6 linked regions of the Mus musculus genome follow. The protein of the gene in region 1 purifies or fractionates together with the protein of each later gene. This does not show direct contact. Links are inferred from orthologs where the notes say so. Each region holds a gene or a part of one and is shown in the gene's direction. Other genes may lie near its edges.

The links.
Region 2: the proteins of Ddx24 (region 1) and Npm1 purify together in Homo sapiens (affinity purification with mass spectrometry; 3 studies listed by BioGRID and IntAct, counting the BioPlex papers as one, with this or other methods). This does not show direct contact. The link is inferred for Mus musculus from reciprocal best matches to the Homo sapiens genes DDX24 and NPM1.
Region 3: the proteins of Ddx24 (region 1) and Rplp0 purify together in Homo sapiens (affinity purification with mass spectrometry; 3 studies listed by BioGRID and IntAct, with this or other methods). This does not show direct contact. The link is inferred for Mus musculus from reciprocal best matches to the Homo sapiens genes DDX24 and RPLP0.
Region 4: the proteins of Ddx24 (region 1) and Nifk purify together in Homo sapiens (affinity purification with mass spectrometry; 3 studies listed by BioGRID and IntAct, counting the BioPlex papers as one, with this or other methods). This does not show direct contact. The link is inferred for Mus musculus from reciprocal best matches to the Homo sapiens genes DDX24 and NIFK.
Region 5: the proteins of Ddx24 (region 1) and Fbl purify together in Homo sapiens (affinity purification with mass spectrometry; 3 studies listed by BioGRID and IntAct, with this or other methods). This does not show direct contact. The link is inferred for Mus musculus from reciprocal best matches to the Homo sapiens genes DDX24 and FBL.
Region 6: the proteins of Ddx24 (region 1) and Krr1 purify together in Homo sapiens (affinity purification with mass spectrometry; 3 studies listed by BioGRID and IntAct, with this or other methods). This does not show direct contact. The link is inferred for Mus musculus from reciprocal best matches to the Homo sapiens genes DDX24 and KRR1.

What each region holds. Positions count from the first base shown.
Region 1 is NC_000078.6:103,408,848-103,412,347, reverse strand, and holds part of Ddx24 (ATP-dependent RNA helicase DDX24), read left to right. Parts: intron 1-1,030; coding exon 1,031-1,219; intron 1,220-2,290; coding exon 2,291-2,420; intron 2,421-3,500. UniProt on the Homo sapiens protein: ATP-dependent RNA helicase that plays a role in various aspects of RNA metabolism including pre-mRNA splicing and is thereby involved in different biological processes such as cell cycle regulation or innate immunity.
Region 2 is NC_000077.6:33,160,407-33,164,631, reverse strand, and holds the start of Npm1 (nucleophosmin), read left to right. Parts: upstream 1-1,425; 5' UTR 1,426-1,652; coding exon 1,653-1,710; intron 1,711-3,004; coding exon 3,005-3,084; intron 3,085-3,406; coding exon 3,407-3,526; intron 3,527-3,710; coding exon 3,711-3,804; intron 3,805-4,191; coding exon 4,192-4,225. UniProt on the Homo sapiens protein: Involved in diverse cellular processes such as ribosome biogenesis, centrosome duplication, protein chaperoning, histone assembly, cell proliferation, and regulation of tumor suppressors p53/TP53 and ARF.
Region 3 is NC_000071.6:115,558,156-115,562,266, forward strand, and holds the start of Rplp0 (60S acidic ribosomal protein P0), read left to right. Parts: upstream 1-1,311; 5' UTR 1,312-1,384; intron 1,385-1,631; 5' UTR 1,632-1,679; coding exon 1,680-1,733; intron 1,734-2,585; coding exon 2,586-2,849; intron 2,850-2,943; coding exon 2,944-3,090; intron 3,091-3,177; coding exon 3,178-3,363; intron 3,364-4,111.
Region 4 is NC_000067.6:118,324,843-118,328,342, forward strand, and holds part of Nifk (MKI67 FHA domain-interacting nucleolar phosphoprotein), read left to right. Parts: intron 1-2,782; coding exon 2,783-2,891; intron 2,892-3,500.
Region 5 is NC_000073.6:28,168,506-28,172,547, forward strand, and holds the start of Fbl (rRNA 2'-O-methyltransferase fibrillarin), read left to right. Parts: upstream 1-1,242; 5' UTR 1,243-1,303; coding exon 1,304-1,313; intron 1,314-4,042.
Region 6 is NC_000076.6:111,971,223-111,975,494, forward strand, and holds the start of Krr1 (KRR1 small subunit processome component homolog), read left to right. Parts: upstream 1-1,472; 5' UTR 1,473-1,570; coding exon 1,571-1,652; intron 1,653-4,262; coding exon 4,263-4,272. UniProt on the Homo sapiens protein: Part of the small subunit (SSU) processome, first precursor of the small eukaryotic ribosomal subunit.

The sequences.
Region 1 (3,500 bases):
CATGGTAAACGGTTCATAGCGACACTGAGCCTGCTGCACTTCATTCGTGGCGGATGCTACAGGCGTCAGGGAAGAGGAGCACCAGTACCCGTGCCATGCTGTTTGTGGACAGCATGCCTACTATATAGGTTGTCCTGGGTTAACCTGCTCTGAATCCTGGCTCCCACATTGAGTTAGATTACCTAGAGGAAGTGGTGGATCTGAGTGAGCGTTCGTTTCCTGTAATATGTTGACAGTGATAAAGTATTTTATATGTCTAGGATAATATTGTCTTCTTTACATTTCTGTTGCTGTGGTAAAACAGTATGACCAAGGCAGCTTAGAGAAGAAACAGTTTATTTGTCTCATGGTTCCAGAGGTTGTGAGCTCCTGACAAGAGAGGAGAGCTAACAGGGGGGAAGTAGGTGGAGCAGCAGCTGAGATCTGTTGCAAATATGAAGCAAAGAGGGTACGCTGGAAATGGGACCCAGCTTTTGTGAGCTCAGAGCCTGCCACCAGTGACTCTTCAGCAAGGAGATACCTCCTAGGCCTCAAAAAACAAAACAAAAACAAAAAAGCCAGTTGCCAGTTGGGACCAAGTATTCAAATGCCTGAAACTTAACAGGGAACATCTCATTCAGACCACCACATACGAAGTGTTTTGCAGTTGGTTGTCCTAGAGCAGTCACTCGGTAACTGTGGGTTATAAATGTACTGTCATCGGTCATGCAGAGCTGAAGAATATGTGGAGATTCAGAATGACAGTATTGGTCACAAGAGGAGTGAGAGTGGAGAAGATGAAAGAAAAGCAGATAAACAGATTGAGTGTGAAGAGCTGAACAGTTGTGGAGGCTGTAGTGGGGCAGAGCCTGCACAGTAGCTAGACTGTTAACTTAGGGGCAGTCTATGTGTCAGAATGAAGGGCTAAGTTTTTCCACAGAGTAGGGAGATTGGTGTCCTGCAGAAAACAGAGCCAGTTTCGGGGTGTGCCCCGAGGGCAAGAGCAGTGTGGACCTTGTCCATGTGCTGATCCTCACTGCTGCTTTGGCAGGTGCCTCGCACCTCAGAGATTTACATCCACCGAAGTGGTCGGACTGCCCGCGCTGCCAGTGAAGGCCTCAGCTTGATGCTGATTGGGCCTGAGGATGTGATCAACTTCAAGAAGATCTACAAAACTCTCCAGAAAGATGAGGACATCCCACTGTTTCCAGTGCAGTCCAAGTACATGGATGTGGTCAAGGTAAAAGTTAAACTCCACTGCACTGCCTCCTCACAGAGCACCTTACTCTGAGACCAGAAGTTATCCTAGGGGATTGAGAAATGGTTCTGCCGATGGCTAGGCAGTGGCTTTTGTTAAGAGGCTGGAAGTGCCAAGCCTGGGAGAAAAGCAGAAAGGGGGAGTGACCAGAGAAGTGTGTTTTGTCCCTTAATCACTCTGATATCTGGTCCTGAAATCTGCACCTGCTTCTGCTTCAGTAGACAGCTCAGTGAGCTCAGCCATAGACATTGTCAGAGAGCTGTGAACAGCAAGGTAAATGCTGAAGGCTTAGTGTGCCCTAAAGCAGGGACAGTAAAACTTGCTGTCTACGTTTGTATTAACTCAGGAGCATTCACTGTGATTCCTGTGTACCCCGGGCCCCAGTGTATCAGGGACTAATATGGGGTAGTTTTCCCGAGGCTCACCAGTGTATGTATAGGGTAAGCCCACGGCACGCTGAGGTGTCCAGGGAGCACTGGGCCTGAGAGGTGTGTGGTTGCGATGGGAGCAGAGCCTTCGTCCTACTACAGAGATAAAGAAGGGTGAAGAGAAGATGGTTACTACGGGCATTGGGGGTGTGAAGACAAGGGGCAGTTTAAGGGTGTGTCACCACTTGGGCAAGAGCGTTGATTGTGTAAGGATTTAGATGGGGCTGGTAGAGGTGGGATTATAGAGAATTCCTGTTAAGGCTGCTGGGAGCAACTCCATTTTCGTGCTTATTCCCATTGCACATGCTCTCTCCATGTCAGGATGAGCAGGGCATTGTGTCACTGCAGAGTGACCTCAAGACCCACGAGAAAGAGGAGACAAGATCACTCTGGGCCACATAGAAGTTAGCACCTGAGACAGAGCTGTAAGGAGATTCGGTCAGGCTTCTGTGGCTGTGATGGTCACCTGGGCTGTTAGCAGGAACCTGGGCAAGGGTTTCAGTAGAATCTGCATTGTTTCTCACTCGTCACTGATCACATTACAGCTTAAGAACTGCTTCAGTAAAGTTTGCTGAGAGGCCCAGACTCTTGATCAGATGAATATTTTGTGTTACTGCCCCCTTAGGAGCGGATCCGTCTAGCCCGACAGATTGAAAAAGCTGAATACCGGAACTTCCAGGCTTGTCTGCACAACTCATGGATTGAGCAGGCGGCAGCAGCCCTAGAGATTGAGCTAGAAGAAGAGATGTACAAAGGTGCGCCTGGGCAGGGCGATTGCTTTCTTTTAGCTTTTACCTGGTTGAGACCATCCTTATTTCTGTGATCCCAGCAGGAGCAGCAAGGTTCCCTTTTCTTGTCCTATGGCTGCTGCTTCTGTATGGGCCAGATACCTTGGGCCTTTCTTGTCTGTCTGACAGCCTCATGGACAGCCCTTGGACTCCATGACTAGGAACAGATCACAAGCAGGGTATCCTTGTTAATGCAGCCTGTCCTTTACTGTATGATTAGCCGCCTGCTGTGCCTTTTCGTTCATGTATAAGACAGGTAATAAACTCCGTACCTCCCAACAAGGTTGAGTAAAGGAGACTAAACTCGATCCACTTATGCTTGAAAACTAAAAGTATATGGCACTGCTAAGTCGTCATTTATCATGGTAGTTAATGTTGAACAGCACAGCACCTTCATGTCTCATTTATAACTTCTCCAGGTTCTGGGCATGAGTTGAGTGGGAGCGATTGTCCTTTTACATGAGGGATAAAGAGATAGAGGAGTGCACAGAGCCAGGCAGTGGTAGACTTGCCTTTAATCCCAGGAGGGACAGGTAGATTTCTGTGAGTTCAAGGCCAGCCTTGTCTACAGAGCTAGTTTCAGGACAGCCAGATCTACATAGACAACCTTATCTCAAAAAAACCAAAACCAAAACAAAACAAAAAAAGGTTCACAGAGAGAAGGAATTTGTACATCAGAACAGCTCTACCACCAGGCATTGCCTAAACCTTCTTCTGTCTGTGGGCCAGAAGCCCAGAAAGAGACCAGGAGTGAGGGGCTGCATGGCCCTGCATAGTAAAGCTGAAAACTGCATCTGGGGCCTATGACAGCAGTTATAGCTGGTGCCCCTTCTTCCATACCAGGAGTGCAGTTTAACTGAGGTGTTGACTTCTCAGTACCCACTGAGCAAGTTCCCAGGCAGACTGCTGCTCAGTGTAGGAGCCAGGAGTTTGCCAACAGTGTGTTCCTCCTTGTAGCTCAGGTCTGGGGCTCAAGTAGAGATGTGAGCCTCTACCTTTCCTTGCTGAGGTCAGGCATGGGCGGGGACTTGGGCTGTGTCCACCTCT
Region 2 (4,225 bases), on another chromosome or scaffold:
TCATTCAGTGACAACTAAGGCACCTAAAGTTTCGGGGAGGCAGGAAGAACTGAGTCTCTGTGTAGTCCTGCCTATCCTGGAACTTGCTCTGTAGACCACTGGTCTTGAACTCCTGATCCACTTGCCTGTGCCTCCAGAGTGCTGGGATTAAACCAGCATGAGCTGCATTTAAATAAGCTTCAGAATCCAGAAACAATCAAACTGTCTGGCTTGCACAGGCTCAAGGGGTATCAATGCTTCCTCCTGCACCTTCTCAGTTTGGATGGTCAAATTCTGTTCACCCGTTCTTTCCCACACTATACCCAGTCTATCTCTGTTTATTTTATTATTATTATTATTTTGGTTTTTCGAGACAGGGTTTCTCTGTATAGCCCTGGCTATCCTGGAACTCACTCTGTAGACCAGGTTGGCCTCGAACTCAGAAATCCGCCTGCCTCTGCCTCCCGCAAACTGGGATTAAAGGCGTGCGCCACCACGCCCGACTTTTTTTTTTTTTTTCTCTGTTTATTTACACACACAATTCTTCCAAGTTTCATGATTTTTTCCTTATAGTTGCAAACTGAAATTCACATATTGACAGATATCTCCGAATTTAGGATTTGATACGTAATGGGCTCACATGCATTTATATCTGACACGTCTCTGGAGTCTACAAACATTGGTACCATTATCTACATTCCTCCCCCAAATTCTTAAATATGCTAGCTCCATGTTGAGATAAAAAGATTAGGGCCGCTGTCAGAAAGCACCCAACGCTGAGGGATGTTCGTCAGGATTCATTTTAAAGCGCTAATTCCCAGCCGAAGATTCGTATTAAGGCTCATGAATTTCTAAAAAAGCGATAGGCCTTCATTTGGAATGATGAAGACGGCCTGCGTTTTCTCAGTTCTGCACGCTCTAAAGTTTTAGAAAGATGCTCTTTGGAGGCGACTGACTGGGTTTCTCTTTGGTCCCCAAATGACATAAAGCTGATAATTTTCGTTTTGAAAATGCTGCCTCAGAAAAGAGGTGCAAAAGCATGGCTGCGGGGAAAGTAGCCTAGATCCAGCCACTCCGCCCTGGGCTCCTGAAGCTACGTGAAAACGAAGAGCAAGCCTTCGAGCAAGCCAAATCCTGAGGTGATTATGCTTGTTCCAGGCCTACGGGGAACGGAGGGTGGAGAAAAGAGACGCTCTGTGGTTCCCTGGCTGCAGCCGCCATCTTTCAGGGTGGGCTGCGCACGCTCTCGGCCCTGGGCCCGCGAGCACGAGCGGAGAAGACGTGGAAGCCCTGAAAACCCAGAGCGAGGCCACAAAGAGAAAACGCGCCTGCGCTTGGGCGACAGTAGTGGAGGGACGGGGCCAGAGACGAACGCGCGTGCGCAGTGAGAGCCCGCCAAGCACCTGGAGGAGGAGGGGGGCGAGGTACCTAGGCGTGAGGATGAAAGGCGCACGCGCAAAAGCGCGACTGTGCGGGGAGTGGGAGGGATCCAGAGGAGGCTCGCGGAGGCAGGACTAGCGCAGATCTCGCGAGATCTCCTGCGACCATATATACGTGCGGAGAGCCCGCGTCCTTTCCTTGGCGTGATTCCGTCCTGCGCGTCTGTTCTGTGGAACAGGAGGCAGTTGTTTTCCGTCCGGCTTCTCCCACACCGAAGTGCGCGCCTCCACCTCATGGAAGACTCGATGGATATGGACATGAGTCCTCTTAGGCCTCAGAACTACCTTTTCGGTAACTGACTGGAGGGGGAAGCGTGTGCAGGGCCTGGTGATGGGGGGGGGGGCGGGAGCCCAGCCGAGGCCTGGCGTGTGGGGAACGCGGCGTAGGTGGAGGCCGGAGAGCAAGGAGGAATCTCCCAGGCCTTAGAAGCAGCGGCCTGAACACTAGGAAAGCCGCCGGAAAATGGGGCGGGAGCGGCCCAGCCTGTAGCCTCGGGTGTTAGGAGCGGCCGGCCGGCCGGCGAGGGTGCGACCTTGCCTGTGGCGCGAACTTGAGAGGCGTTTCTCCTGTGCACGAAAGCCCGCACGGTCGCTTCCGAGCTCCTTTTTTTCCTCTTGTGTTGAGCCACGGCAGGCGGCACGGGAGAAAGGGGCCTGTGGAGCGAGGCGAGGCCTACCTCCGCCCTGTTGGGGAGGATACATCTGCAGGCGCTGGGCTTTCCAGGGGCCGCATCTTGTATTCTGTGGCGACCGAGGGCTTCGCCCAGTAACGGGGAATGGTCCGAGCAGGCGCCCTGAGGCAGAAGGGGCAGCAACCCCTAGGAGCACGTGGTTGCCACGTGGTTGGGGGTTAGGGAGGGGGTGTGGGCTCTACATCCGGGCTCTCCGACTCTAGCCAACCTTCAGCCGTGGGATCTTGTGGCTTAGTTAAAAGTTCTGGGAGGGAAATGTTTATTTCATAGCCCGTGGCGTATGGGTTTTTGAGATCTTTGTTCATATCTTTCAGTATCCACAGTGATGGAGCCCCCCCTTTTTAATTTGCCTCTGGTAGGCGGAGTCAGCATCACGTTGCAGATAGCTGTACTGATGGCCCACGTGGCTTAATGTTAGGAGTACCCTTAAATCATCTACCTGGCTCTATCTAGAACTACTTTTTCTTGGGGTGGGGAGAGGGAAGGATCTGTTGAACAGACAAGATTCGCTTTAGCATCAAGGCTTTTGGGGATCACATCTATAGTCTTGCTGCCTACCCTACACCCAGTTTTTGTTTAAAAGAATCAGTTTGTTTTTCAGTGATTCACGTTTTAGCTTTTTAACAGTCCTGAGATTAAAGGAACAGTGAACTCTGCCACTCGTTCATTAATTCTAGTAGTGTTTATACCGATTTCACCATACTACTTTAAAGAGACTCATTAAGTCTACTGTGGAAACCAGCAATGTTGCCTCAATGTAGTTAGTACTATGAGAAAATTAAAGATTTTTTTTTTTAATGTTTCATTTGAGTTGATTTCACAGAACTTTAGGCTTTGGGTTTTGATGTAAGTATCATTGCTAGGTTTGCTTTCTTGTTTTTGTCTTACATACAGGCTGTGAACTAAAGGCTGACAAAGACTATCACTTTAAAGTGGATAATGATGAAAATGAGCACCAGTTGTCATTAAGAACGGTATGTAAGCTCTGAAACTTAAAAACATTTCAGACATTTCCTACTGATGAACTAGGAGTTTAATCCCAGAAAAGATAGGGGATCTTTGTCACTTGTAATTTTGTATAGCTTGGTCACTCCAAGGTGCTAGATAGGTGCTTTGTAGAACAGTGCTTGTTTTTAATCTGCCAGCTTTATTCATTTAAAGGAACAGTTGTGTATATGGTAATTCTGTTGTGAAACGCTTCAATTCTAATTCTAATGGTGAGATGACTAGTTTTCTTTTCGTCAGTAGTGGTGAAAAGCCACTTTAAAAGTTTCTTTGAAACATTTTTATTCACAGGTCAGTTTAGGAGCAGGGGCAAAAGATGAGTTACACATCGTAGAGGCAGAAGCAATGAACTATGAAGGCAGTCCAATTAAAGTAACACTGGCAACTTTGAAAATGTCTGTACAACCAACAGTAAGTACATTTCTAAATTTTGGATTTCATGTTGGTTCAGGTCTCTTGCGTCATTTGGGGTCAGTGTCATTTAGGTTTTGCAAAGACGTATCTTTTACCAAGATTATTTCTGCTGCTATTATAAATAGGTTTATTTCATTGTAGAACTTGCTGGTAATATCTGTTGTAAAACTCTTATTTTTAGGTTTCCCTAGGGGGCTTTGAAATTACACCACCTGTGGTCTTACGGTTGAAGTGTGGTTCAGGGCCTGTGCACATTAGTGGACAGCATCTAGTAGGTAGGTTTTTTTTTGTCATAGTTTTCAATATAGGCTAGCTTTTTTAATATTTTAAACATTTGTATCTTTGCACATCTGCCATGGAATGCTTGTCCTGGTCAGACAAGACAATTTCCCTAGCATCTTTAATTGCTATCACATGAGTTCTGGGGATCAATCTAACACGACGAATGTGTTTGGTTGGGTTCAGCTATTCAGGACCCTATGACCAATGAGGCTATCTTTCAATCTAGACTTCCATTTGGACTGTCGTAGTTCTACAAAGACCTGATTTCTGTCTTTAAAATACAGTAAATCTTTTCTGTTCATTTGCTACCTTTAATGGAATCTTAAAAATGCTATGGGTTACTTGTTCTTGTCGAGTTAGTATGTCTAATTCTATTTTAGCTGTAGAGGAAGATGCAGAGTCTGAAGATGAAGA
Region 3 (4,111 bases), on another chromosome or scaffold:
TATATATATATATATATATATATATATATGTGAAGAAGCTAGTTTTATGTATCGATTTTCTCCCGTATCCCTGGAAGGGAAAGCAAACGGTCAATAAAGTGGAAGTGCTTTTTAAGACAACACAGCAAGCGGCAGAACAAAGTTATGGATCCGGGTCTCATCTGGCCGCATGCCCTGCGTTTTGCCTGCTCAACAAATACTTATCTGCCCACTGTCTGGCAGGCACAGAATAAAATCTCTGCCCTGTGGAGCTTACCTTCCTGCAGGGAGAGGCTGACAAGCAGAATGTGGTGAATTATACAGCGAGTTAGATGGTGTAAGTGCTGCAGGAGAAGGTGGGAGAGTAAGGGAGAGTAGGTTTGGTTTTGCCCCCGCCCTTAAAATTTGAAATCAAGAATCAGGGCAGGTCTCCTTGAGTAGATAGCATTTGCAGCAAGATGTGGGGGAGGTGAGTTTCTCTGACCGAAGCTGGCCAGCACCATTCAAAAAGCTGTGAAGCCGGTGGTGGTGGCGCACACCTTTAATCCCAGCACTTGGGAGGCAGAGGCAGGCGGATTTCTGAGTTCAAGGCCAGCCTGGTCTACAAAGTGAGTTCCAGGACATCCAGGGCTATACAGAGAAACCCTGTCTCGAAAAACCAAAACCAAAACCAAAAAAAAAAAAAGGCATACTCTTGAAGGGGATAAAAGGGCAAAGGGATCAGGCGAGAGGCAAACACATCAGTAGGAAAGCAAGAAAACAGATTGCGACAGTGGAAACAGTCGTGTGGGACCTTGAGAATAGTCTACGTTTTAGGCGTTTACTCAGAGAAAACGGCAATCTTTGATTAACTTTGTGCGGGTGAAGATGTAGGTTTTGAAAGGAAGAACAAAACGGGCAGTGGTGGCGCACGCCTTTAATCCCAGCACTTGGGAGGCAGAGGCAGGCAGATTTCTGAGTTTGAGGCCAGCCTGGTCTACAAAGTGAGTTCCAGGACAGCCAGGATATACAGAAAAACCTAAAAAAATAAAAAATAAATAAATTAAAAGAAAGAAAAAAGAATGGAAGAACAAGAGGAGACTAGAGCATCAGCTAGGGTTTCGCAGAAAGTTGTTTTGCTGTACTGACTCGGTGACGCTGCAGGGCGGCTCCGACCCAGCAGAGGGCAGCAGGTCTGAAAGCGCGCCTCCTGCGGCCGGGTGCTGTCTTTACTTTCCCGACTTGCTGGAGTGGCAGCGGTCTCAGCCAATAGACGCGCATGTTTATTGAGTGAGGCAGGACAGTCGATGGAACCAGCCAATAGGCATGGACGACGTCGTCTTCGGGTTTCGAGGACCGCCTGGTTCTCCTATAAAAGGCACACGCGGGCATGCGGCCCGTCTCTCGCCAGGCGTCCTCGTTGGAGGTTGGGGGGTTGTTTTGTTGTGGGAGGGCGGCAAGAGCGCGGGGACGTTGCGGGTGGGAGCGATGGGCTCGGGAAGGATCGCGGCCGGGCTCTGCCCGTCCGGTCTACCGCCTGGCTTGTCGGATCGCCCGCGCTGCTGGCGGCCGCAGCCCGGGGCCCAGCTCTGGCGTGGCCGGCTTGGCCTAGGCCTGGGATCGGGGCCGGTGTTGGGGTTACCGGGCTCAAGCTGCCCCCTCTCTCTCCCCAGTGACATCGTCTTTAAACCCCGCGTGGCAATCCCTGACGCACCGCCGTGATGCCCAGGGAAGACAGGGCGACCTGGAAGTCCAACTACTTCCTCAAGATCATCGTAAGTGTGGAGCGGGCCGGGGACGCGCGGCTTCCGCCTCCGGGTCTTCCCGGGGCGGTCGTTGGCCACGCGCTTTAACAGAGTTTGGGCATCCTGGGGAAGTTCTGTAGTCTTGGGATCTCCCCCCCCCCCCCCCGCGTTCCAGAACTAGCTCGCTCACCCAGTTTTTCATCTCGTCGAGCCCTTCGCGTTTGTGCAAAGGGCTGAGACTGGAGTGATTCATCTTGTTGCCCATCTGAGACCTGCCAGTCAGGCTGCTGTTGAGTGACTTAATTACAAAAGGCCTTTGAGGTGGCTTTGAACCAGAGCTACCAGACTTTGTAGGTACCAGTCTGTTTTAGTTAACTTTTCTTTTTTTTTTCCGAGACAGAGACAAAGATTTTTGGGTCTGGTAGTACCTTTTATATTTCACAACCTAAGATCCCCCGACCTCTCTATAATTTGTTTTCTGTGCTTTTTAAGTCTGTCTCTTCCCTGATCAGAGTCACTTTGGTCACCCAGGCACGCCTTATTTAAAAAGTAAAGCTTAAGATTTACTTGAGGCAAGTCTTCCCCCTATAGCTCTGGCTGGCCTCGGATTAGCAATTAAGCCTTACCTGTCTTTACAGGTGTGGCACCACACCCAGCTAAAAGTTAATTTTTGGCTGTGACAGTAATTTTGTGATACTCGTAACCAGCAAGGAAGCTGGATCAGATAAAGACAGACGTTGGGCTCGGGTGGCTGGCTCCTAGCGAGAAGTGTCACACCTAGGGTGAAGCAATGGGGAGGTAGAGGTAGCAGGGTTTCGGGTTTTGCTGGGTATTTTTTGTTTGTTTTCCTCTCAATGTAGTTTTTCCTGGCTTCCTTCATAGCAACTTTTGGATGATTATCCAAAATGCTTCATTGTGGGAGCAGACAACGTGGGCTCCAAGCAGATGCAGCAGATCCGCATGTCGCTCCGAGGGAAGGCCGTGGTGCTGATGGGCAAGAACACCATGATGCGCAAGGCTATCAGGGGCCACCTGGAGAACAACCCAGCTCTGGAGAAACTGCTGCCTCACATCCGGGGGAACGTGGGCTTCGTGTTCACCAAGGAGGACCTCACTGAGATTCGGGATATGCTGTTGGCCAATAAGGTAAGGGGCTGGGACGATGAATGAGGATTTGGCCATTTCGGGGCTTTCACCGATGGAGAGGCATTTCACCGTCGACTACCTCTGTTCTGTTTAGGTGCCAGCTGCTGCTCGGGCTGGTGCCATCGCCCCGTGTGAGGTCACTGTGCCAGCTCAGAACACTGGTCTAGGACCCGAGAAGACCTCCTTCTTCCAGGCTTTGGGCATCACCACGAAAATCTCCAGAGGCACCATTGAAATTCTGGTGAGTAGATGGCCTGCAGTGGTCGGTCCTTTGGGCTGGGCCTCCTGTGTGTCCAGATGATAACTGTCCTGCTGTTCTCTTCCTCAGAGTGATGTGCAGCTGATAAAGACTGGAGACAAGGTGGGAGCCAGCGAGGCCACACTGCTGAACATGCTGAACATCTCCCCCTTCTCCTTCGGGCTGATCATCCAGCAGGTGTTTGACAACGGCAGCATTTATAACCCTGAAGTGCTCGACATCACAGAGCAGGCCCTGCACTCTCGCTTTCTGGAGGTATGTCTGCCCAGCTCCTTCCTCCCATGCTGAGTGTGACAACAGATTCGTGCTGGCATCTTCAGTTGTTCCATCTTCTCATCTGCAGAAAATAGAGTTGGGCAGGAGGTCATGTGCTGGGACTCTAAAGGTTGTTAGCCTGTGATAGCAAAACACTGCCTGTGGGGGCTGTGTCTAATCCCAGCGGAGGCAGGCACCCTCTTGTGAGTTTGAGGACAGCTAGGTCTCAAACAAAATAGAACATTGCTGGTCGGTGAGATTTTGAGTATTGAGTCAAGGAGAGATGAATACAATTTAATGCTAACAATTTAAATTGTTATTACTCTATCTTTTTAAAGACTGTCCCACACCAGGCTTTTGCCATTAAATTGACCTTTTTTGTTTTTTGATTTGTTTTGTTTTGTTTTGAGGCAGGGTTTCTTTGTATAGCCCTGGCTGTCCTGGGCTTTGTAGACTAGGCTGGCCTTGAACTCAGAAATCCTGCTTTTGCCTCCCAAGTGCTGGGTTTAAAGGTGTGCACCACCACTGCCCAGCTTAAGGAAAATTGTTTCCTTGAGTGAATAACTTACTGAAATTAGACATGCATCTATAGATTTAGCATTTTAATCTTAACATTTTTTTGAGTTATTTATATAGTTTATATTTCTAACTCCAACCATGCCCACCCCCACTCATAATTCAAGATTGGGAAAAGGTTTCATTACTGGTAAATCACATCTGGAAATGGATTAATATTCTAATAGTGCTC
Region 4 (3,500 bases), on another chromosome or scaffold:
CCTGGGGTTAATGAACTTAAGTTTGGTTTATGTAAGGTTTCTCTAATAGAGCCCCTAAAACCACAGGAATCATTTTTTGTGAATTTGCTTTTACCGGGGTTTAAGTCAGGGGATGGAAATTGTCGCTTTGTGACCACCACCTTCTTGAGGCCTACTGCCAACTGATTCCTCCCTGGAAGAGAATTTCCTCCCCTGGGGACTCCTCCCGCTGGTTGCCTCTCCTAGTTCCCTGAGCAATTCTTCCTCTTGGGAGACTTGTGCTGTCCCATCTGTTCTTTTGTTTGCGTGTGGGGAAGGAGAAGACGAGTCTTGCATTGTCCTGAGGAGGCTCGTGGGCTTTGGCGCTTTCTTTGTGGGTCATTGAGTCTCCTGGAACTCGTCTGGAATGTAACTGCCGTCTCCTGCAGGTGCCATGGCCAACACAGCCAGCAGCCTCTTTCTTTCCTTTTGTCAAGTGTTTCTCCTCAGTTCCTCCAGCTTCCTGCTAATCTTAGTAGCCACTTCCTCTGCCTGAGTCATGGCTTCTAAATCCTGTAGACTCTACAGTCTCATAGGATAGCTATTCCTCACTTGCTCTAGAGGTTGCTCCCCAAATACATCTGATTCTTGATGTATTACTGCACTTGTTTGACAGCTACCAGGAGATGCAATCTTTGTTCACTGTTCAGCTAGTGAGATGCAGTGAAAAATGAGTCCATATTTACTCCAGAAACTTGGTTCCAGCTCGAGAGCCAAGAAGTGGCTCAGATGCTAGGATGAGCCATCACTTGCATGTCAGAGACCATGTATTTCAACAGGTTTTTAAATTTACATCTTCTAAGCACCTTTAAAGTGTTGGGTTTTGATTTGGTTGGTTGGAGTCGGAGATTAACTGTGGAGTTCTGGCTGTCCCAGACTTGCTACCTGGACCAGGCTGGCCTTGAACTTGTAGCTGTCCTACCTCTGCTTCCCAATTACTAGGATTATAGGCACTCATCACCATGCCCAGCTTAAAGGGAATTTTTATTATTTATCTGTCTGGGTATTCTGCCTGTCTATGTGTTTGTGAACCGCATGCATGCCTAGTACCTGCAGAAGCCAGAATGGGGGGCATCAGAGCTTCTGAACTAGGAAATTGAAGCTGCCATGTGGGTGCTGGGAATTGAACCCAGGTCCAGTGCTCTTAGCCACTGAGCAATCTCTCCAGCCCCTACAGCCTTCCTAATGCTGCAACCCTTCTATACAGTTCTCATGCGGCGGCCCACAGCCATGAAATTATTTCATTGCTACTTCATAACTCTGATTTTTGCCTGTGTTATGATGCTGGGGCTTAAACCCACCTTTTTGTCTGTGTTGGGCATCCAACCCTTGGCTTTTTGGTTTCTTTTCTTTCTTTCTTGATTACTTTTATTTATTAGAATGGGGCAGGAGTGAATGTAGAAATCAGCTAGTTTGTTTTTTTTCCTTCCACCTTGTGTTTCCTGGGGTTGGAGTCAGGTAGACTTGGTAGGTAGTGCCATTGTCTGGTGAGTCATTTCACTGCCCTTGATTTTTGTTCTTGGAATGGCATGTCCTTTCAAATTCCCTTTCAAAGGATCTGTTAGTTTGCAGTGGTAGTCTGTTGTTTTGGTGTGGTTGGAAGTGTTGGTAGGAGATGGTTGGTGGTTGATACTCAACCTGGCCTTACTCTGTCTGTGTAACTGAAATTAACTTTGAATTGCTGATGTTTGTTTTTGTAATATGTTGTTGAGCTTTGTGGGACATTGGTATTTTCGTGGCATCCTGATGAGAGGGTTTTTTTTTTTTTTTTTTTTGGTTTTTTTTTTGGTTTTTCGAGACAGGGTTTCTCTGTATAGCCCTGGCTGTCCTGGAACTCACTTTGTAGACCAGGCTGGCCTTGAACTCAGAAATCCGCCTGCCTCTGCCTCCCGAGTGCTGGGATTAAAGGCGTGTGCCACCACGCCCGGCTTCTGATGAGAGTTTTTAAATTGCCCTCGTTTCATGGAATGACAGTCTGTTACTTAACACAGGTCAGTGCCAGGATCGAAATATAGACATTTGAACTCCAGAACCCACCCTATACTTATGACCATTCTGGGTGTGGGAATCCACTCATGAGCTGGTACAGGGGTTAGGAAGTCCAGACCAGTTCCTTTGCCTAGGCTGTGGAAATCAGGGCAAGTTCCTGGAGGCTTGTTCCTGGAGGTTGTTCCCACCCTTAATGTGTGAGGTGAGGTTGAGCTTGCCTGTGTTCTCCTCTGGCACTGGGGACTGAACCAGGGGAAACACGATAGGTTAGCACGGGCTTACATTGCTATTTTATTTTGAGACAGTTTTACTTAGTTGCCCAGACTGTCCTCATTATACTCACAAGATCCTGCCTCAGCCTCCTGTGTAACTGGGATTCCAGTCTGGGATTACCCAGACTGCTAGGGTTTTAATGAAGGAAAAAAAATCTGGCCCTCGCTGGTGTGTGCCAAATAAGACTGCCAATGAAATGAGAAATGAGTAGACAAATCCAGAACTGTGAAAGCCCAAAAGATAGCCTTCTTACCACCAGCGAGTACTACTGAATTCATTGTAGCCAGAATACTCAGGGATGTATCATACTAAGCCGAATTTTAAGGATACCAGAAAATCTATATTCCAAGCTGTGACTGTCTTATCTGTCTGTCTGTGTGTTAGTTTGGGGGATGGGGGCAGGGGCCAGCGGCTTTGAAATAGTAAAAGTTGCGACTGGGGCTTTTTAGGAGCTTGGTGATAGTTAGACTTAACTGCTCTTTTGTGGGTTTTTCTGTTACAGACTGGAAACAGCAAAGGCTATGCCTTTGTGGAGTTTGAGTCTGAGGATGTTGCCAAGATAGTTGCAGAAACAATGGATAACTACCTTTTTGGTGAAAGACTTCTATCATGTAAGTATTCTGACCTTTCTGCACTGTGATGGGATTACAAAGTTACTCGTGACATTGTACTCGGAAGAGAAGCTGACCCATCTTTAATGTGTGATTGGAAAGAATTTTGCTCAAATTGAAAACTGGTGGGGTTAAAGCCCAGCATTAGTGGTACACGCCTTTAATCCTGGCACTTGGGAAGCAGAGGCAGGCTGATCTCTCTAAGTCCAGAGGCATCCAATGCTCTGTAGAGACCTTATGTCATCAAAAAAGGAAAAGAAAACTGGGGGTTAGATAGGCATAAGCCAGGAAAAGGATGGCAGTGCAGCCTGAGGTCATTTCTTACCCAGTGAGTGGTGAATGCCAAACCAGAGGTCACTAACCTTTAGTTATTGGGATGTTAGGGGATTCAAATGGGGAGCAGAAGATGGGCTACAGGTCTGTGAGGCCTGGGTGCAGCCTCTTAGCCGAGTCTACACAGGGCAAGACCAAAAGTAAAGAATCACATTTCAAGATCAGACTCAGTGAGGGAGGTGCAGCCCTGGCCGTAGCCCGGCTCCGGGCTCAGTAAGAGGCAGTTTGAAAGAAGTGAAGCAGAGAGTAAGAGAGTAGAAAGTCTTCCTTGCCCTG
Region 5 (4,042 bases), on another chromosome or scaffold:
CAGCTGGTCTACTGTCATGGCAGCCTGGCAGCTCTTGAATGCTCCACAGACACCTCCAGGAAGCTATACTGCATGGACCACCACTTAATGCTAAAAGACAACTCCTGCTCTAGGAGGCACTATCCTGGCCCTGACTATCCCCAAGAGTTTAACATGGACTTTTTGCCATCAGAAGCCTCTATAATCCTTGGCAGCCACTTCACCAAGGCCAGAGGGAAACCATTTCCCCTGGTAACCCAACAAAAAGTCAGCGGTTAGTGCAAATGATCTTTCAGTTGCACGGAAGGCTGTAAGTTCTGGCTATTAGGACGCTTCTTCTGGAGACCGGTCGCTCCTGTGCTGCCTCCTGGTGGTGCAACATTAACACTGGGCCTTCTGCAACAGTTGTTGCTCGACTGATGTGATCTTTATCAGTAGGGTGGGCTGAATTCATGACCTGAAGAGGAGGAACAGAGGCAGAAACAACTGCAAACCAGCAGTGGCCTGGGAGCAGCTGCGACAACATTTGGGTGAGTGAAGATTTCCAGTAAGAGGCCAGGGGTAGAGAGCAGAAGCAGTGAGATGCCTGTTCTTCGCTGTAAAGGAGGGAGCTCTTTGAGCGGAAAAGGAAAAGGAAGGAGAAATAGAAAAGCGAAGTGTACCATAGGAGATCCCGAGTTCCAGCTCAGCCTGGACCCCACTGCAAAACCCTGTCATAAAATACAAACCTCAACAACAAACAGAAACATAAGGCTGTGCTGGAGAGATAGCTCAGCTGTGAAGAGAACATAATGCTCTTGATGAAGACTCAGGTTCGGGTCTCAGCACCTATTTGGCGGCTCACAATTAATTGCCGGTAACTCTAGTTCCAGGGGATCTGACGCCTTCTCCTGACTTCCATGGCGTATGCGTGGTGCACAGACAGACGAATATGCAAGCTAAACACTTCTAAGGATAAAATTTTAAAAATTTAAAGTCTTTGAAAAATAATAAATTTTTAAAAATCGGTATAACCCCTGATTCCTGGAGTGCTAGCATAAGTGAGAGGAAAAGTCGCAGCGCACTTGTGATAAAATTTGCCACTCTAGGAAAAAGTGAGGAGCGTAGAGACACGACAGAGCCGGAAAAGGATTCAGAACTCCCACCCAAGGGGCCGACTCCGACTTCCGGGAGACGGGACGCGCGTCTAAGGGGCGTGGTTACGCGCTTCCGTCACTCGCCGTGCGTCACCGCGCGCAGGCGCTCCTTTCCACGTGCGAAAGCCTGAGACTCGTGGAGTCGGGGACGCCGCAGGTTGCCTGAATCGCGCGACCAGAACGCAGTAATGAAGCCAGGTAAGGACCACGGTGCGGGCAGGAGTCGGGGGCTCTAGGCGCGGCGGGCGGGGACCGCGGCCGCTCGGGGCCGGGGGATGTGGCCGTGAGCTCGGCTCACCGGCCGGCCTACAAGCTTGCCGCCTCAGAGCGGCCGGTGCGGCCCTCCAGACCCTGACCCAGAGTTGGGGCTTGGATCTCCGAGCATTGCTTTAGGGGATCCGACTTGGGTCGCAGATGAAAGGGCCCCTGTCTCCACCCCAAGCCTTCCCTGTTGCCGCCGTCACCCACTGTCACTCCCTGTCAACGATACCTTGGTCCCCAACCCAGCTTCCCCCCGGGTAAATGAGGATCTCCGGCTCCGTGGTGTGCGGCGCTCGCGTGCACAGGCTGGCGCTCGCCGCGCTTCCGGGAGGGGCGGGACCCAAGGCTTGTAGGAGTAGAGGCTCTGGGGACCTGGGAGTCCCTGCTCTGTAGTGAGAGCGACTTTACTAGCCCGGCTATTAGCGGGGTAGGTGATTGGAATTGAGAGGGGTTGGTTTAGGTTTGGATTTTGAGAGCGTCTTGTCACGTGATCCTAGCTGGCCGAGATCCACCAGCCTTTACCTCCAGAGTACGGGGATTAAAGGCGTGCGCCACCACGGCTGGCCTGACAAATGTATCCATCTCACCTATTTCCCGCGTTTTTTTCTGATGAGCCCACTGTATGGTGGATGATGGCGAGAGTTCTGGCTTTGACAATAGAAAGTTCTCGTTTCTCTCTTGAGTTCTTAATGGATAAGTGGTTTTCTTGGTGATAGGTTACTCTGGGCTGTCAATCCTAGCACTCGGAAAGCGGAGACAGTTAGATAATGAGTTTGTAACACCAGTCTGTTCTACATTAGTCGTGATAGCATGAGCTTTTCCTGTTGCCGAAGGATCAGTTTTCACCACTGCAGGTTTTTGTCTGGCGTGGACACACATGTTCCTGTGGACAGATGGAGAGTAAGTCACTGCAGGCGATAGTGACCCATCTCTCCCTCCCAGACATGTTGAATATCTATCTGGGGCTCTGTTCTGGATGTCTGGGGAAGTAAGGTGGAGGGATTGCTAGTCTGGATGTTCTCCTGGCATCCTGTGATTTGTGCTTTCCCCTCAACCTTTCTCCATCACACGATAGAATGAGAATTGTTGAACAGTCGAATCTTCTGTGACAGTTTGTGTCTTGAATACGAAGCAGCTTTGGGGGAGATTGTTTTAAACAGAGGTGTGCTACAAAGTATGGTGGACGATTCTCAACAAGGTCCTTTATTTTCATGTTTGTGTATTGAAATGGCATCTTATTGTAATAGCCTAGGCTAGCCTCAGACTCGGCTTCCCAAGTGGCTGGGTTGCAGGCATGTGATTGCAGCAGTTGCTGGAGTTGCTAGTTTGGAGGTGGGGAGACTTGTAGAGAAAAGCAGATTCTAAAACAGCAGACTGTGTGTGAACATAAAAGTCTTGTTGAGTAGTGAGTCCTTTCGGTTCATTTTCCTCAAAACCCCAGGACCAGAAATGGATCCTGATAACACATTGAGTATTATGTGTCTGAGTTGACCCTGCTATCTACCGGTCGCCATGAGGATGCCAACAGCTTGCCAGATCTCTGTTCTGTCAGGCCCAGGGTTGGAGCTAGTGGCTCTTCTCCTCAGTACTCTTGTGTATACAGTTCCTTGATTTTTCTATCATTCCCATAGACCTTTGCTACTTTAGGGTCTTGAGTAACAGTAGCATAGCCATCCTCCCATATGAGCTACAGGACACCATTCTCTTCTGAATGAAAACAAGTGGTTTCTCTGAGGCAGAATCCAGGGCTGTGGATATGGCTCAGCTGATAAAGTGCTTCCTGGCATTCGGGAGACAATAGCTTTATTCTCCTGTGCTACCTAGGGATAGGTGTGGTGGTGAACATCCATCTTCCTGCCTTCGAGGTGGGGGGGGTCAAAAATTCAGATTGATCAACCATTGCAGCTGGAGACCCTGTCTCAAGGTCATCGGCAGACGTTTGCTGACTGATTGTTGGTGTCAGCATTGGATTGTGCTGAGATGCTGTAACCAGAATAATTACAAAGCCTTTTGTGCATTTGGAACTTGTGGGTGCCAGTGAGACTGACAGTTAAATGTAACGTGACAAGAAGTGGGCTGAGTCTGTACCACTTAGTCAGACACCCAAGTGCGGGAGTGCTGTGCCTGCCTGCGGGAGCTGGGAAGAGGGGCAGCTCGCATGAGATTTCAAAGCCTGCCATTTGCAGATGGGGGACAGCCTGGGTTGATGAATCTCAATTTAGGCTATACATTAAGGTCCTGCAGGGAACTCAAAAAGGAAAAAAAATGCCCTTCTCAGGGAATCGTGGTCAAGAAAAGAATTCTGATTTTGTTGTGGATAGTGAGGTAGGGAGGGTAGAGATGGGGCTTGGGGGTGTCTGAGAGTTTTGAAGCTGAAACTTAACTTAGAACTGGGCGTGGTGGCACACGCCTTTAATCCCAGCACTTGGGAGGCAGAGGCAGGCGGATTTCTGAGTTCTAGGCCAGCGTGGTCTACAGAGTGAGTTCCAGGACAGCTAGGGCTACACAGAGAAACCCTGTCTTTAAAAACCCAAAACAAACAAACAATCAAAAACTTAGTTTGAAATAGATACCAAGTTGCACAGGGTTTTTTGTTTGTTTTTGAATTCTGGGGAGTTGAACTCAGGGCCTGGCCTATTAGAGCTGCAGTGCCCCCCCCCCTCAAG
Region 6 (4,272 bases), on another chromosome or scaffold:
TATTTATTGAAATACTATTATGCTGTCAACTTAAAAAAAATAACAAGGGCTTGGAAGAAGTTGAAGTGAGGCCAACAGCCTCTTTCCAGTGAAAGGAACCCAGACCCACACACCCATGTGTGAAAAGCACTCTTTGAAAGAAGCTCGAAGCTCATAACCATTCAAACATAATACTAACTACATTTGATTCTCAAAGAGACTGGAATGGGTGCACCATTATGAGGCATCAGTTTGCATACAGAGAATTTCCCTTAAAATTTGTTCAAAACATAGTCGAATCCAGTGGTTACCAACCTTCCTAATGCTGCAACTCTTCAGTATAGTTCTGCATGTTTCTGTGATCCCTGAACCACAAAATCATTTCGTTATTACGTCCAACTTTGCTACTGTTATGAATTATAATGTCTATATACATGTGCGTTCTGATGGTCTTAGACGACCCCTGTGAAAGGTAGTTTGACCCTCTAAGGAGTCACAATCCACAGGTTGAAAACCACCGATCTAAGCACCTGAAGTATTGTTCTCAGTTTTACTAGGCATATGCGGGTACTCCTCTTTCCTTTATCTGGCTTATTGACCCATGTGCTTATTAAATATTTCCTGGAGGTTGGGGAGAGCATGGTCCAGAAGGAGAGGTCCTAGTGTGTTTTCAGACCCTGGTTACATCTCTTCACATCTTAGCATCTAATTTAGTGAATATATTTTTGTGCTAATATTTTTTTGCTGTTTTTACTGACTATATTCTAAGCCTTTTAAAGCTATGATGTAAGAATAATAAACAATAAAGTTTTGGTAATAGCTCCCTCCAGCCCCCACCAAAAAACCCCAAACATTTGAATGCTGAAGACCGGTGTGGTGGTACACACCTTTAATCCCAGATTCTGGAGTCATAAGCAGGAAGATCACTATGACGTTGAGGCCAGCCAGGTCTACATAGCATGTTCCAGGCTAGTGAAGGATACACAGTGGCCTCGATTCATAAACCCAAAATAAACAAAACAAGCAAGCAAACAAATAAATAAAAATAGAACAGAAAAGTCTTTTAAAACCAATCTGGAAGTTGAGAGATTTAAAATGCAAAACTCATGGTAGGTTTTCAAATGGGCTAAAGAGTGGTAGCAAAGTTTGGGTAGATTTTTGATACAATTCGCCATTTTCATTAGATTTCTAATCCCCCTCAAATAAGAATTTTAATAATTTCCCCTCCCTTCTCTCCCTCACCCTCACCCACCTCTCTTCTCTCTCCTCTCCTTCGCTCCCTTTCTCTCCCTTTCCTTCCCTTCCCCTCTCAAAAAAGAAGTTCCCACAGGGCTATACAAGTAGCTACAATTTAGAGCTTGATACAAGAAAACTACCATTCCCAGCGTGCAACACCGAGGTTGCAATGCATCCTGGGAAGGAAGTGTCACGCTCCCCCCCGTCCCCGCCCCATCGGCTTCCTGTTCGTCAGAGCAGAGACCACGCAGGTCTCATAGGGATTATCCGGAACTCGTTTTGCCTTTTACACATTGTAGCCGGCGGGATCTTAAAGAACAGTTCCACTTCCGGGGCCGCCGGAAGCAGTTTTGCGATGGCAACTTCTGCGGAGGCGCCTGCCAAAGAAGCTCAAAAACGTGACTCTCAGCCGCAGAAACAGAAGCGTGAGACCCAAGGTGAGGCAGTGCGAGACCCGAAGCCCGGAGCTGGCGGATCTCGAAGCATCTTTGTCTCTTTCTTTGGCCGCGCACTTGGGTTGAGCCTCTTTTAGGCTGTGCAGTGCCTGCGGTAGCCGGGGTAGCCGAGGGTTGCGGGTGTTGATGGCTGCGCCGGCCACGTGCAGCTAACGCAGTGTTTTTGCCAGCGACCGTCCCTGGCAAGTGTACCCGATGCGCCTTCTGTCCCCGGTAAAAGTGTGAGGACTCAGAGATTGTGGAAGGCGCGGCAGTTCTGCCTTGAGCTTTGGGGAGGGGAGGTTGAGAGGATGCGGATCAGGATCAGGTGGGAGAATCTTCGTGTCCTGCGAGCGCCGATGGTGATGAGGGAGGCGGACGGGGAAAGGTGGGGACGGAGCTCAATGGGAAGTTTTGTCAGAACTTTTATCTGATTATTAAGTTGCTAAATGACACAGCTCTCAGTCTTTAGCTCTAACCCCTAGTTTGATTTTTGGCTGCTCTAGTTTGATTGCTTCTTTCCGTTTTGATGAGAGTTTGGTTTTTACCTACCTTCAATTTAAAAAGAAAAATTTTTTTCTTTTAAAAACTAAGTACGTAAAATACGGCAGGGACTATAGACACCGGTAAAAGCTTCAAACCAACGCTTGAGGAATTGACAGGATGAGTAGACCATCTTCCTCAAGTTATCCATGTGCCAATCACAGATGCTATATAGCTTCCTTTCTGGTACCCGGAGTAATTCGTTCGAGCTTTCTGTCACCTATCTACAGCTATTATGATTTTTAACAAAACGCTTCGATTTTTGTCTCCTTTTGAATCATAGGAGAATGAATGGAGCTGTGTACTCTATGTATGTTGTCTGTGTCTTTAGCTTCTGATTCTTTACGATGCTGTGTAATATTTAAATTCCGTCGTTGGCGGACATTTGAGCTCTGCCTTCAGCTTGCTCTTGTAAGCACCTTTGTGCATGTCTTCTGGTAATGCCTCAGGGTCTCTGTAGGAATTTAGGATTGGAAACTCAATTGCAGGGTATCTTCAAGTTATGCTAATGCTACCGGAAGGAGCTGTGCCAGGTTTTTTTCTGTTTTAGGAAAGGTTTGTTTACGTTCAAAGCGTGAGGGTATAGTCAACCATGGAGGGGAAACTGGGCCAGCACAACTCTAATAGTTGAGATTGCTCATCGATCTAAATTTACAGTGATTTTTTTTGTTGTTGTTGTGTTTTGATTTTGAGGTCCTGGATGTACTTATATAGCTAGACTTTCACCCTAACCTAATAAGCAAGTGATATTCTTGGTCCTAAGTGGCCTTAGTTCCCTTCCCTTTCCTCTACTAGGGTTCACACATTCTGTCTTAGGAAGGTTTAACCCTGGGCCTGAGTTTGCTTGCTTGCTTTTTGTTTTGTTTTGTTTTGTTTTGTTTTTGTTTTTGTTTTTTTTTTTTTTTTGTTTTTCGAGACAGGGTTTCTCTGTGTAGCCCTGGCTGTCCTGGAACTCACTTTGTAGACCAGGCTGGCCTCGAACTCAGAAATCCACCTGCCTCTGCCTCCCAAGTGCTGGGATTAGAGGCGTGTGCCACAACCGCCCATGTTCCCAGTTTTTATAGGATTTTAGTTTGCAGTTTTTAAAAAGAAGGTATTGGAGAATGAGTGGTTTATGAGGACCCATTGTCAGGAGTTTGAACCAGAAGTGGCAGAGTGAGTGGAAGTAGAAAGTACATTTTCTTACCTGTGGCTAATAACGTGGGCCAAGGGCCTGCCTTTCAGACCTCGGTGGTTTAAGGACAGGATGACGTTTAAGCACAGATCTCTGGGCCTCACCCCAGAGATGCAGATTCACTCTGCCTGAGATGGAGCCCCAGATGGCCTTGCCCACAAACTCCCACAGGTGTGCTGACGCTGCAAGATCAAGGATGGTTCTCTTCGGGTAGAGTTAACGTGTAGCTATTGGATTTGAGGGGTTTCTAAAGTTCTGGGACAGGGAGTTTTGAGAAGTGAAGCAGGCTCTCCAGAGGTGATCTCATAGTTGTCAGGATTTTAGGCCATTTCAGCATTTGTCCTTCTGGCCTGTCACTCCTTTTGGTTTGAATATCTTCTATAAAGTAGAAATAGTAATAGTGGCTTTCTTTTATTGATGAAAGGTGTGTATAAAGCTCTTTGGAAATCCTAAAATTGTATTACAGTGGCTGTTAATTGACATTGTACACCAGAATCCATTTTTAGGAATTTTTTACACACACAGACATGTGGGGGTGGGGGTAGGACTGTACCAAGAAAGTCAGAAAGGCTATTAATAATAAGGGATAAAAGTGATAAGGTGTTTGAACCACTTTATTGTGCAGTGAAAGTGTCTTAGTAATTGCTGTCTACCGGTGCATCCCAGTTAGAGTGGGTACAGGGAAAGCATCCTTGTGATGAGGCAACTGCAATGTATTCAGATGATCCTATTACAGCATCATGATGATGATGGGGCCGTGGTCATGATGCTGAATAATGTAACAACCAGGGATGCGGATATGAAACAATGCATTGGTGATCTTCTGAAGATGTGCATAGAGTGCGCACGTGTGTGAAGGACCATTCCATGTGATGTGTGAATTCTTTCCTCTGTAGATGAGGCGGA